Linked DNA regions of Astyanax mexicanus. The protein of the gene in region 2 interacts with the protein of the main gene of each other region in a pairwise test. Links are inferred from orthologs where the notes say so. Each region holds a gene or a part of one and is shown on either strand. Other genes may lie near its edges.

Region 1 (7,016 bases), on a different chromosome or scaffold from region 2:
GAACTTCACCCACACACACACCCAGTCAGCACACAGAGGCTGACATGACTTTATTTGCTGCACTCTTAAAAACTATAAACTCTACCTCAGTAACTGCTGTGATTATATATGTTCTATATGTTACAGTATGTCACACATCTCCGCACCTTATCCCCACTATACACTTATTATACCGTATCGGTACTGCACTGTCCTGTCTTTAAATTGTCTTGTCCTTTGTATTTATTGTATTTATTGTTATTTAGTGTTATAATTTTATAATTTTATGTTGCACTGTCGTCACTCCTGCACTTTATGTTGTCTATTGCTTGTTGTTCTATGTTGCACCATGGTTCCGGAGGAACATAATTTCATCACACTGTGTACCTGTACTCAGATATAATGACAATAAGAGCCTCTTGACTTGAAAAAAAAAAAACTATTAAAGAACTGCAGGTCTCATTTACCTCAGTTAAGGTCAGTGTTAATGATTCAATAATAAAAAGGAGACTGGATGAAAATGGTCTCCAATTTCCAAGGCAATAAACACTGCTGACCATAAAGAATACAATGGCCCATCTTCCATTTGCCAAAAAACATCTTAAATGATTGCCAGGACAAAATGTGGAACTTTTTGGAAAGTGTGTGTCCCAATAAATTGGTGTAAAACTAACACATAATTTCTGAAAAAGTACATCATACTGAACGTAAAACATGGTGGTGGTAATGTGAGGATCTAGACAACTTGCTGTAATAGATGGAACCAGGAATTCTGCTGTTTACCAGACAATCCTGAAGGACACTGTCCAGCCATCTGTTTGTGACCTCAAGCTCAGGCGTACTTGGATTCTGCAGCAGGACAATGATCCAAAACACACAATTAAATCCACCTCTGAATGGCTTCACAAAAAAAACAATGGTTTTGAGTTAACCTAGTCAAAGTTCGTTTAGAGGCTGGTGGATGATCTTAAACAGGCCGTTCATGCTGGAAAAACTCTACATTGTGTCTAAATTACAACAATTCTGTAAAGAAGAGTGGATCAAAATGCCTCCACAGAGATGTGAAAGACTCGTTGCCAGTTATCAGTAAAGCTTGACTGCAGTTGTTGCCGCCAAGAGTGGAACAACCAAGTTATTAGGTTTAGGGGTAAACACTTTTTCACACAGGGCTAGATTGGTTTATATAGTTTTTACCTTTATTAAATAAAATTATCCTTACTTACTTTTACTTATCTTTGTCTGATATTAAAGTTTGTTTGATAATCAGAAAAATCACACTATGACCAAAAAAGCAAAAACAAAAAAAAATCTGTAGGGGGGCAAAATACTTTTTCACGCCACTGTACAGAACTATTATTAAACAGTTACCCATCCTAAATGGGTTTGGTGTAAGACGGTGAGTTTTAGAGAACCTCTGCAGTTACATTTTGTTCACAGTGGTGGTAAAAGATCCACCTCCCCAGACACTGTTACACATGTTCTGGGGAAAAGTCTAAAAAAACTTATTTTAAACCTATTCATGGAGAAGAAATGCATGTAAGTAAATAGTTGCATATTAAATCCTGTGACGATATCGATGGTGTTATATTTCTCTAAAGCAGCTCATTCTACTCAACACTCACCCCTCTGTGTACTCTGCCTGAAGGAGACCTAAATAAGCCTCCCACTTGTTGCCCACAATCTTCCCGCAGGTGAAGCATCGCACTGGGATAATCATCCTGAAGAGATGCTTTGTTAATCTGGAATCAGAATTAAATCAAATTAATTTTAGTGTTTAAAGTACTGGAAGCCACAGGTGATATCTGTAAGGAACTGGATTACTTTGGGCTGTTGGTCTCCATATTTTATTTATACTTTGTCAATTCCTTCAACATGTTCTCTGAACTAAAACAAACAGAATACATTTCTAAATAGACCAATCTGTAAAGGTAAACAGTCATACTAACAAGATTAAGAAAAATGTAAGAAAAAAAAGAAAATGTAAGAAAGATGCAGCTATATAATCTATATCTACCTTTCATTCTGTATGGAAATCTAAAGCACTGTTCAAAGCAACTCAACTTCTAATACTCTTAATTTCTAACACTACTACACACACCATAGTTCACTGAAATTTGAATAATGGAACATTTTTAATACAGTGCTATAATTAAAATATAACAGATTTGAATAATCAGTAGAACTGGGTTTTGCATTTTTATTGCTAACTTGGTTTAATACACTAAAAGCATTTTCATTTGTGTTATATTATTAAATTAGAATTCTCTGTGAGACACTAATAATTATAATAACATGCTTCTCGTGTGTTTGGGCAAGGTGAAGAAATCTTTTTTTTTTTTAATTAAAAAGGCTTTTTCCATTTAGACACAGCATCTATTTACTATTTCTTTATACACTTAATTATAACATGTTCTAAATTCAGTAAATTAACAGTAGCTAAATGTGTATAAAAATATGTCTCTCTCTAGTGAAGGAGACTTATGATTTTGCGCTTAAAATTAAGTTACAGAGCATGACCAAGTTAATTAATTAAGAACAAGTTTATAAATAAAAAGCTAATTAAGGAATTAAAGAGTAACTTAATGAATAAGAGATTAAATTAATCAATAAAATAGGAAATTAATACATGAAAGAATAAACCAATAAATTAGAGGAAATTAATGAATAAAAGAGTAAATAAATGAATTAAAGAATACAGTCATGAATTAATGATAGTACCTACATAGTTAACTTAGTTATCTGTGTAAGTACGGTATGTAGATTAGTACACAATACTTTAACGGATTCCGCATTTTACCCCAGTCCACAGTAAATCTCGCCGGGCTAAACCCGCGGAGTGAACTGCGCTGCAACGGACTGTGTTTAATACTGAATATAATTATCAGTAAAATGTTACAAATATTATAATAATTATAAACACTCACCCGCACTTTAGCCACCACGCTCAACACTCGGTGTTCCTCAGAAATATATCCGGACTCAAACACAACACCGGAAACACAACGTTCCTCAGCACTCAAAACGATTTTCTATCAAAATAAAAGTCTTTTTTCAGTTTTGAGTCTCTAAATGAACTACTAACTAATAAACTAGTTTGAGAAAATATAGAGTTTATAACAAAATAAAAGCTTATTGAAACAGATAAACGCATTAATCAATGAGTGTAACAAAAGAAAACGTAAGAAACTGAACTAAAACTAGTGTAGCTGGAAAATATATTGTAACTCAGAACAAATAACTCTAATATCAGTGGAATTCATACATCTGTAATATCTACATTTTATTCTAGGCAAATTATGTATATATAAATAATGTAAAAATATAATCTGACCTTAAAACTGAGAATATGTTGATTTGTTGATGTAAATTGTGTATGAAACAGAAAAAGGTACAACACTTTAAAGCAAAGCAAAAGTTTTAACGATGATTTTTGTTCATCTGTTTGTATGAAATATGAGCGAATAACGTAAGAATCATTCCTAAATTAAAAATTGAATGATACTGAATGCAAACTCTTTATTCTTAATGCTGCAAAGCACTGTAAAATCATATAGCACACTGGCCCTAGACCACTGGCCCCCGTGTTGAAATGGTCTAGAACCGACACAGGATATAATATTCTTACTATATTGCTTTAGAGCTCTAGAGACATACTAACATTTTTAATAATAATGGATTCATTAGTATAAGTGCATCATTAATAATTTATTACTGAATGTGTTCTGCTGCTGTGAGCTACACTCAGATAATTCAAAACAGACAGATATATTCTAGTAATAGAATTAGTGTGTGATTTCTGTAGAACTGATTGTATAATTTTTGACTGACGTCAGATACTTGCGGTAAAAAGTAGATGAGGATTTAATTCTCAAGAGGGCAATACACAAAAATATAAACCATAAGAGAATGCTGGATAAACAGAGGCAATACACAAAAAAACAACACAATAAACAGTCTTACATACACATGGAAATTAACAGAAGACAACAGTTATAGAATTCTGCAGAGCATGAAAAAGAGATTTTTTCATTTGCTGGGAATTGTAGTTCTAGTGAAAAGCATGTCCCGAGATGGGAATAGAAAAGGCCAATCTAGGAACTATCAGGTGTGAAATATAGACAAAGAGAATTCTACTGATGTTACAAGATACACCAGTAAATGGGCTAGGTCCCAAAAATCGTCCCTATAGCGCTACATGTTATTGGACTGGTGGGTTTAAGTGCAGGATGCAGGGAGTAATTTGTGACGGGTCTGTAAACGCTGGCTTGTACACAGCATTGAGTGAGGAGCAGTGCTGCAAATGAACTAAATCAACAGAAAATGTATGGCCTTGCAACAAACATTATGTTCAGGACTTTTTTTTTTTACTTCATAATTATTAGTTACACAAAAAACAGTCTTATGCTTCAGCACATCATTCAGTGTTCAATTTAGTCAGGCAGCCTCTTCATAAACATTTACAAATGGTTTGTAAAGTTTATATATCTTTTATGAAAACTGGTATACCCAAAGAACACAGGAAAGAACATTTAGACCTTCACACACAGATTTGCAGACAGAGAAGAGTCCACATTTACTTTCATACAACTGAAATTATTAGTTCAGTTACTTTATCAGACTGTGTAAATGTCACTCTTAAACTGCCAACCAGCTCCTTAACTACAGTCTCTGCTTCTAAAACTAGTGCAGAACTTGGCACCAACAAAACTAGCATGTTTCAACTTTTTACCACTTAGCTATTTAACTAGAAAATCACTGGTAATGAAAGGGTTGTTGTGCATTTGGAATTACTAATTATTAGCAACATAATTATTTTTGAAACTCCAGCACACTGTGCATGCCTCTTATACCTATTGAAATATCACCATAATGACTTATCCAGCTTGATAGCTAGTTAACAATCTTACTTATCTAACAACCACCCTTCTCCACACACTAAACTAGCTAGCTAATTCACTAGGAAAGTGTTTTCACTAGCACACTAGCTAACTCGGTGTGTGGAAGAGGGTGGTGGTTGGATAAGTTAGCTAACCGACCTAGATTAGTAATTTATCCAACCACCTTCCACTTTCACACACTAAATTAACTCTGCTAATTTATCCACTAATCACCATATATATATAGAGATATATTTCTGCCTGTCTCTGCCATAGTATCAGTTTCCTAAAATCCCACAATGCACTGCGTTGTTCATGTCTGCTGACATCACGATTCTATTCTCTATTAGCACGCTAGCCAAATGGTTTAGCTAGCTAAGTAACCTAGGCTGGGTAAGGTAGTGTTAGCAAAATAATTTAACTAGTTAATTTATCCAGTCTTCAACCTCTTACACACAACAAATTAGCACGCTAGCCAAATGCTTTAGCTAGCTAGTTAACCTAGATTAGCTAGCATTAGCAAAGTAACTAGTTAATTTATCCAGCTGGGAGTGAGAACCTCTGCGAACTTCACTTATTTGGAAGCAAAAAGCTATACCAGTGACCTCTACCCTGTTATACTGACTAAAACATGCGTCAATAATCGACAATAGAACTCGTCTTGAAACAAACAAACAAAGAGTCAAAAGCCTGATATTATGTTCAACAGTGAATGCGCTAGGTAAGCTAGTTACCTAATTAGCATTAGCTATATGCAAACCATGCCCATGTACATATTTCCCCAATAATACAACATGTAGTGGATAACTAGCTTGTTTAAAGTAACTAACGCTTTAACCACGAACCTGCACACTGCTACTTTGTAAACTGCTAGATAGCGCTACAGTTTATTATTAGGGCTGAGCAGCTGAGCAGTAAATCTAGCTAGACTTAGCTAACTTTGCTTGAACAGAGGGGTTAGCACTGGCTACATGTGTTAATAATTAACCTGCTACAAGAGCCAGCCTGTGCCAGAAGGTGAAAATCATCGTTATACTCGAGCACACTGAGTACAGATCTTAATATAGAACTAATACTTACATACATCAACTTTTGAGCTCATACACAGAAACATGTTAACAAATCTTACCTTTAAAACAGCAGCTCAACTCCACAACAAGTGCACAGGGGACCGATAGTATCTGAGTATATGTTCTTATACATTTTTAAGTTTTAGTTGTTACTGTTTACAAATGAGTAAAATAGGTAGAATTTTCCCATTGTAATTTATTTTACTTTCTGACTAATACATTTGAGTATTTTTCAAACACTGTTGTGGGAAATCTTACGAAGAAACCTTGTTTACCTTGAAATATATTGACAAACACCTAACAATCATGATTACTTACCATCTGTGAAAACCTTGTATTTTATATGCATTAACCAATACTTACACCACATTTGATCATTTTATTATTCACATATTATTCACACATTTATACTAACACTATATTTGATCATTTTATCGCTCACAGTATATTTTTTACACATTTATATAGAAAACTAACCTCTAAACCACACATATAGTAAGACATTGTTTTTCACAAGCATGTGACTGACACAGACCTTAGTCTGACAAACTAACCCACATGATACATAACATAAGGGAGTTTTTGCTAACGTATGGGAACCTATTATATGGCTGACTAATCACGCGCCACTGACGCCTCACTGAACCACATTGTGTGATTGCATGTTTTCTAACTAACAGCTACAAAATCAGCAGATAGTGCATTCTGCATGGCCTTGCTTAAATACAAAAGACGTTTGACAAACAGTACAGTCTTTCTCTCTCTGTGCGCGTGAAGGCCTTCACCTGTCAAGTGAGGGAGGACATGTGCGCAGGGAGTGAAACACTGTCTAATTACTGAACAAAGCCGTGCTGTTTCTCCAAGGCCAAAACACCAGCAAATCTTGAGCCATCAGCGAATCTTCAGCCCTAACAACATAACACCATGCATGCTGACATAAGATAATTTCAGCAACGCCTCATCACCAGGTGTTCACGTCATTTTGGGTTTAAAACATGGGAGTCAGATGACGGGGGTTCAGAGCATATCGGGGAACGGTCAACGACCGCTCATTTGTGTTCTCCTGGTACCAGCTGTTATAATAAATACT
Region 2 (7,776 bases):
TTTGTGTGTGGGTGTGGATATGTGGGTGTATGGTATTCTGACATTAAGCTCCACAAAGAGAAGAGGCAGACAGGAATGACTTTGATGTAGAGCTCAGTAATGCTTTAACTTCATTAGGAAAAAATGGCAACAAGACAAAAGGAGATTTAAAAAGAAAAAAACTGTGAATCTTTTTAGTTAACAGATTTTTTTTAAACATTGTCTACTGACTCCTTCATTTATAGTACAATTTCATCTGAGTGTAAAGTAAATATAATGTATAAAACATTACGATTCAGCATGTTTTAATTCAGCCTTCATGAGTTAGCTAACAGCTAGTGCTGACTTACGCAATCACCCTGCGTTCAGGTCCAAACTCTGCCTCGTAGTAGCCATCCTTACAGTCTTTTCCCACCAGGTCGTGTGGGTGTGGCCTGTAGGGCTCGTTTTTGGTTACCAAAGACACACGCACTTTTCCTTTTCTACAGTTATTCAAAATCTGACAAGAAATAAAGAAAGTATTTAGTAGTTAGTTAGAAAAATGGTCAATATACAGAGAAATCGTGAAGTAATGTATTGGAGAAATCTTTATTTAAAACAAAAATAATAATAATCTGTACCTGAATGCTTGGGTATGTCCTGTTATTATCAGAGCTTTTCTCTCCAGGTATACTGCCTGCTGAGCGGCCCTCACATTTATACCTGAAGCGCATGCCTCTTTGTTTGGGCTGCTCAAAGATCTGAACACAGGGCTCTCCCACTAATGAAAGACAGGGTAAGAAAGAGAACGGGAGTCAGGCAGTGAGTATTGACTGAATTAATATACAACAGTTTTAATCAGCTAATTTTAGAAGGCACAGAAACTAACTGATCCATCCATATGAATAGCCACATATCACCCCATATTCCTTTTTGCGAGTAATCTGTTTTTCTTTTTCATTATGTTCTTTTCTATTGTGTAAGTTACATTATTATAATTATTATTAAAGGTGCAATATGTAGAATTTTGCTACATGTTTGTTTGCTTTATTTTAAGCTGATGTGATGCAGACCCTATGGCTGGTAAACATTGTTTTTGTTAACATGTCTTTTTCAGAAAAACTACTTATTGTACCTTTAAGTGCCTTGACTAATAAAGAAATCTACATCGAACTAAAACATTTTATTTTTTATGTAAAAAAAAAATGAATAAGGGCAAAGATTATGATATATAGTTAATTATGGACAGGTTTTAAGCAAGCATCAAGTCAGATAAGCAGACAGCAGGCAGACAGTATAATATTGATTAGAAGAAATGTTGAGGTTGTTCGGAGACCCGCTGTATTGTAAACATCTAAACATCTGCAGACCACAGCACATTCCTCAGAATCTGCTCAAACCACTGCCAACACACAACTCACATCAAATAATTTCCCCTTCGGCTACACCTGCTAGTGTATTTCTCACAAGTGCTCCCATCTCAGTGGACCACAGTGGACCACAAAGGATGATTATGATTGTCGAAGCTCTGTTAAACACCTGTTCAGACTACACAGCTGTGTGTGGCACGAGATGACACTCAGGGCTCTCACGGCTCCTGTTGTAAGGTTCCTCTCGTCATACAGATGTGCAGATGTCTAAATAAGACAGTCTGCCTTGTGACTGCCTGTACTCACATTTCAGCACATTTCAGGCCTGTACAATTCTAAGACTGTACTTACGAGGATGAGAATGATTTGATCTGAATAAATTACACACAGACAGCCTCCTTATAGCTGTGTGTAATATCTGTGCAATATCTTCTACCTAGGAGCTAACCTCAAGCACTCACTCACTCACTTCTGCTCTTCCTGCTCTGTGTATAGCTGCGTATAGCTACGTATATACACACAGACCTTATATAGTCCTTATAACTGTGTTGTACAGCGATATATTCTACCTGAGCTGACCTCACGTACTCACTTCTGCTCTACCTGCTCTGCATGTTGCTATCTAACACACACACACACACACACATATAGACAGGAAGTGGCTGTCACTCTACTACTCTACTACCTTAACCAAGCAACCCAAACCGTGGTAGAACAAAAAAAAGAAATAAAGAAATTAAGGAAGCAGACAAAGAAAAGAAAGTTATAAAGGCAGTTATAGTTATAAGATAGTTATAAGCATGCTGGCTGTACAGAAAAGCTTTACACTTTTTTAAAAAGAATGATATGAACTTACTGTTCATTGGGGGAAAATGAGCTGTGCAAAAAAAAGAGGACAAAATATTTCAGGACATTATATAATAACAATAAGCTGAAAAATCAAGTGCAAAATCAAGGCATTTGCTGACAATACTGCAAATGGGAACTTGAAGTCAAAACCAGTAGTCTGAGGTTCCTCATTTTGATTTCCTGGTGCAGATTTAGACTAGCCTATTCGTCATGGATTTTAGTCAAATCTTTATGGCAGCTTACTTTCTACCATCAAATATTATTACTATTATTATTTATTCATGTATTTATTTATTTTTTATTTTTAATATAATTTGTCAGGAAGTTATATTTATAAACATAATATACACAACATATGCACTGATTGGTTTTCATACTGTTTCTAGTCGACACTCCCTCTGAAACATTGTGAAACAAGCAGCAATCAGTAATTTAACACATGAGAACTGGTTATTCAAGTTACAACAAGTAACAAGCTATCTAGCAACAAAACAATTACTAGAATCAAACACGTAAACACATAGAAATCTTAATCTAGCCCCATCCATTAACCTTCTGACTGAAAACTGTTTAACACCTTCATGTAATTCCATATCACATCCATTAACCAAACAAAAACAGCAGGCTATACTAGTCACAGCTCTCAGTCTGGATGATTGTGTACTCCTATTATATATAAATATATATCACAGATATTATAATTATTCTAGGAAAGCTGTTAAAAGGCGTGAATTAATTAATAGCTTGTAACTCACCATCCATTCTAGTGGAGCCCCTTGCTGCAGCGATCAGTGTGTGTACGTGAGTGTGTGTGAATGTTCAGAAGTGAATGAGTGAAGTGTTACTCCAGAGGTGAAGGGCGCTTGGGAATTCCCCCCGCCGCCTGGCTCCGCCCCCCCCGCACGTCCATAGCCAATCACACACACAGGAGACTATACGTAGCACTTCATTAAAAAAATGGATTTTATTTTGATTAAAATGTATTTGTTTTATCGCTATCACACAAAACGCATAACGTTTCTCCAAAAAAGGCAACGTAAAAGCTTAAAACTTTTAAAGGCTTGAAAAAATCAGTAGAAATCAATAAAAAATATTTTATTTTTCTATTGGTCCATTGATAAAGATCTAAATAATTAAAAAATGATGAGAACTAAACAAAATTGTCTATAAAGCTATTTATCTGATAGGTAAGCTGGGTTTAAATAAACCACGAGAAGGCCTAACAATTTTAATTCCTAATAATTTTAATATGATAATTTTAATTTCAAAAATAATTTAATTGTAAAAAATAATTTAAACAACTTCAATTCCCCCTACAACTGTGCATTTTTTAGAAGAACTGTATGCACTCGTTCACTTTACCAGTCTTAGGTTTTTAATTTTTTTTTCTCTACATTTGCACTACTGTTATAATGGTTATGTTTATACATACAGTCAAATGAAAAAGGTTGGGCACCCCTATTAATCTTAATCAGAATCAAACTTTTCATATGACTGTATCATCAATCCCTAGTTAACCCCCCCTCCCCATCACTATTGCACTATTGTCTTGTGTCTTTTGTCTCACATACGTATTTGTGCCCTTGTTGTATTGTACATCTAATGCCCCTCATTCTGTTATATTTATATTCTTATTTTCTGTACTTTCTTTACTTGTTGTAACTTTGGGAAGGAGAGTGATGTAATTTCAATTCTTTGTATGTCCTGTACAAATGCAGTTTTGACAATAAAACTACTTCATTTGACTAGACTTGAATATTTACAGTTATCCTCCACGTCCTAATTTATCCAATTTGTCCTTCACTGAAGGACCAACCAAACCAACCAAATAGTTCTTCAGCAAAGCTAATTCTTTTAAATAATTTGATACTCAGCCTATAAATAACTTTACTGACCAACAACATATCTGATTACTAACTATTGTGTATTTATATATTTTTATAATTATTCTAATGTCATACAAATGTTTTACTATGGCGCCCCTTACAGTGACATCATGTAAAAAAAATAACAAAAACTTGTGGCCACAACATATTAAGACATTCTCAGCAGTGCAGTGACACTGACCTTATGGTGGAGTATTAGTGTGTGTCACAGTTGTACAAGTGAATCAGACACAGCAGTGCCGCTGGAGATCTTATTTAGTATTCAAAGGATGCTGTCCATTGTCACTGCAATGCCGAGAATGACCCACCACCCAAATAATACCTATTCTGTGTCAGATTTTTTTATTATAGTAATTTTGGGTAGAACAACTTTTTTTATTAATAAAACACACAACTGTGCATTCTTTTGTTTTCTAACAGTGTTATATTCTCCCTATTGTTAGTTCTTGGTTACATTCACACAACCTATTGTTTGCTCCTGCTCCTTTCATTTGGGAATGATCAGTATGGTTAAATCATGTTTACAGACTGTCAGAAAGCTTGCCAAAGGGTGAAGGCTTACAGTTGATTTATGTATACGACAATATATACCATTTACTCACTACTAATGTTTGTGTTTTGCAGATTCAATTGTTGGCCTATGTGTGAGGAACCGATCAAATCTGAACTGCAGTTATCCACGCATTATCCTTACATACTTACAAAAGGGCCTTGACTGTCTGTGCCATGCCATACTAACCAACACTGTTTAATGAGTTTGGACCTTTGCTGGTCACTTTTCCTCAGAACATATGAGCAACTACACTTTTCATACCATATTTTCCCAAGAACATTTGAGTGATCTTCAAGAGTGCTGCTCTGTTTCTTAAAGATTTGCTAGTAGGATGTGTGCCCCTTCTTTGCTGCAGGAATATCCTGTATATGGATGTGGGGTGGTTTAACACTTGGGACAAGTTAACACACTGCTGGGAATATTTTGTGATTACATTCAGTGTCAAGAACAATTGAAATGCCACTTGAACTCAGATACTGGTTTAAGCAGGGCCTGTGAAAGCGCATATGCAGTATGGGTCATAAGAAATTTGAGAACATGCACAGTAATATAATACAGGATCCAATAATGAACACATGAATCAAGGATTTGACAACAATGTCTATTATCGGTTGCTGGAAATGACTTACTGTTTCAGGTAATTTAACAATTTCATGTAAAACATTTAAAATCAAAATGGAGCTTGAGCCACAATTAGGGTGAAACCACAGATTTTGTATAAATACTTATATATAAGTACAGGTCTATGGGTAAAACTTTCAAATGTAGGTTTTGTACAAGACTTCAGGGGAGAGAGAGAGATGGACTGGCTAGATGACATACAGCACATGATGTAAGTTCTAACAAGTTGCCTAAATATGTCTGAAAAAATGATTCTTTTTTTAATGTGCTTTATGTATTCATCAAGTGTGTTTTGTAAGGATACTTATAAGTAACGTTAATTATTTATTTAATAAAAATGTCAAAGTACATATTTATCTGACAACACTACAATAATGGCAACGAGGATTAGATGCAGGGCTGTTAAAAATGAGTTAATAATCAGATTTATACATTTATTTTTCATAGACTGTAACCGAGAGGGCAAATGAACATTGGATTAATCTTCATATTTTCTTCCAAACAATGTGGACCTCCAACAATTGATTTGATATTTGTGCACATTAATTTCATATTGAGCCAACATTTTGGTTTAATATGTATTGTTTACATTAAACTTACTTAAACACTTTAAATTTACATTAAATATTTATAACAATTATTTGTTATTACCTTTAAATGAATGGTGATTTAATGTAGAACTTTCAACATTAACCAATGGCAATTTGGCATTTTTTCTTCAACAACATTAAAAGATGTAATTAAACCAAAAATGAACATTTTATTTTTTTGTATGCACTTTGCCTTTTAGGATGCAGAGTTTGCATTACTTTCTTTCTTTTAATATATCTTCCTAAAATAATAGATTTTTTCCCCATGTAAACACACACACACACACAAAAAAAAAGGTTTGTTATTATTTTGAAAAAGAGCAATTAGAGGAGATTTTTCATAGAGTTGAGCACCAGAACCAAGCAGAAATAATCCTAAACATATATAAAATAAATAAATATATATTTATTGAAACGACAGAAAAAAAAGTTGTAATTTAATTATAACAGCCACGAACTGAACAGCATTTCTATCTAGCTTTATGGCCTTAGCTATGTTGCTGACTAAAATGCAGACTCAATAATAAAACACAACAGCAACGCAATATTCATAAATTTATAGCCTTTATTAAAGATGGCTCCATCTTGGAACGCTTTTACAATAGTCTTGAGGTGATAATAAAGTAGCTTAAGTAGGCCGTTATGCGAGTGGGGTAAAATCAAATGATTTGATCAACTGAGGGTCTAGGCGATTTACTAGAACTTTCTAGTTTAATATTAAGCTGTTACCTCCCTACCTCTAGTGTAATCAGCAGCTGCACCTTAATTATATGCTGTACCTCAGAATGTACATCTACAATAAAAGTGCACCATTTTAAAATGGTGCTCTTTTATTGTTGCACGTTTGCATTTTTGTCGTCTATACAGTACTGTTTGTTCCATGCTGCATCTTGGTTCATTTCACTTTGAACTTAGATGAAATGATAATAAAAGCCTCTTGAATCAAAAAAGCAAGAATATATCTGAAGAGCATTTTTCACCCGACAGTGCACGAGCCATGTGTGCAATCACCTCCTGTGCTACATTTCACATTGCGGTACCCGAATCCATCCAGGCTATTCGCTAATTGAGCGGTCTAGAGGGGGCTGTAGTAGTAGGTGTGGACCGGCTGTGGGGGACTGGATCACTGCTCTTACCCGCCGTCATAAGAAAGGGGAATCCCCTCGCCACGTCACTTGCGCACACTGGCGAATGGGAATCTCCCAGAAAGCAAACACGAACAAGGAAGTAATAAAGATCCAGCGGACTGGTCAGGTAAAGAAAATGAAAATTGGCGACTTTAAACACTTACACACCTAGAGAACTACAGCTACATAGTCAAAATCAAGGCAGAACCTTTTTCTCAGCCAATAAACAAATACAACAATCAAGTGGAGCGATGGTTTGTCCTCAAACAAGTAGCTTTAACTGAAAACTATTTTTCCCCCTTTTCTCCCGAACACGAAAAAGAAAAAAAAACATATTCAGTATTTAATTTATTACTTTTAACCTAAGAAATAAACTAAACACTAACTACTATTCTCATTTCAAAGTAATACATGGATTTACCCATCCTTTTCTCCTCCTTCCTTCACTTCCAGTAACCACAACCTCAAACTTCTTGCACCATGTGAAAGGGTTTTAATGGTTAAATCACGCTGCCAGATTAAGTACAGCTTGTCTTTTCCTCTCAGAGGCAGAGTGCCTGAGGTTTCCTTCGGCCCACTGTCCAGCGCAGGAGCAGAAAAGTATTATTCCACCAAACTTCCTATGGGGAAATATACTCTCCAATGCAACACAATGGAATTTACAGAGTTCTATAAACAGATGAGCAGTAAAGACAAACACACTGTTGATGGGGTTTTGTGAAATTTTATGGTCTCAGTTTAAAGGAGGCAGAATACATTACATACAAAAATACGTTTTGAAATACAACTTTTTGCCCTAAGAAAAAAACGAAAGAAAAAAAA

What was found.
Region 1: the proteins of rel (region 2) and polr2l interact in binary tests that used the Homo sapiens proteins (3 or more experiments, as listed by UniProt). The two-hybrid records come from large-scale screens. The link is inferred for Astyanax mexicanus from reciprocal best matches to the Homo sapiens genes REL and POLR2L.

The regions. Positions count from the first base shown.
Region 1 is NC_064423.1:9,009,370-9,016,385, forward strand, and holds the start of polr2l (DNA-directed RNA polymerases I, II, and III subunit RPABC5), read right to left. Parts: upstream 3,009-7,016; 5' UTR 2,904-3,008; intron 1,719-2,903; 5' UTR 1,697-1,718; coding exon 1,602-1,696; intron 1-1,601. UniProt on the Homo sapiens protein: DNA-dependent RNA polymerase catalyzes the transcription of DNA into RNA using the four ribonucleoside triphosphates as substrates.
Region 2 is NC_064414.1:37,478,584-37,486,359, reverse strand, and holds the start of rel (proto-oncogene c-Rel), read right to left. Parts: upstream 3,019-7,776; 5' UTR 2,940-3,018; coding exon 2,933-2,939; intron 2,206-2,932; coding exon 2,185-2,205; intron 740-2,184; coding exon 600-739; intron 479-599; coding exon 330-478; intron 1-329. UniProt on the Homo sapiens protein: Proto-oncogene that may play a role in differentiation and lymphopoiesis.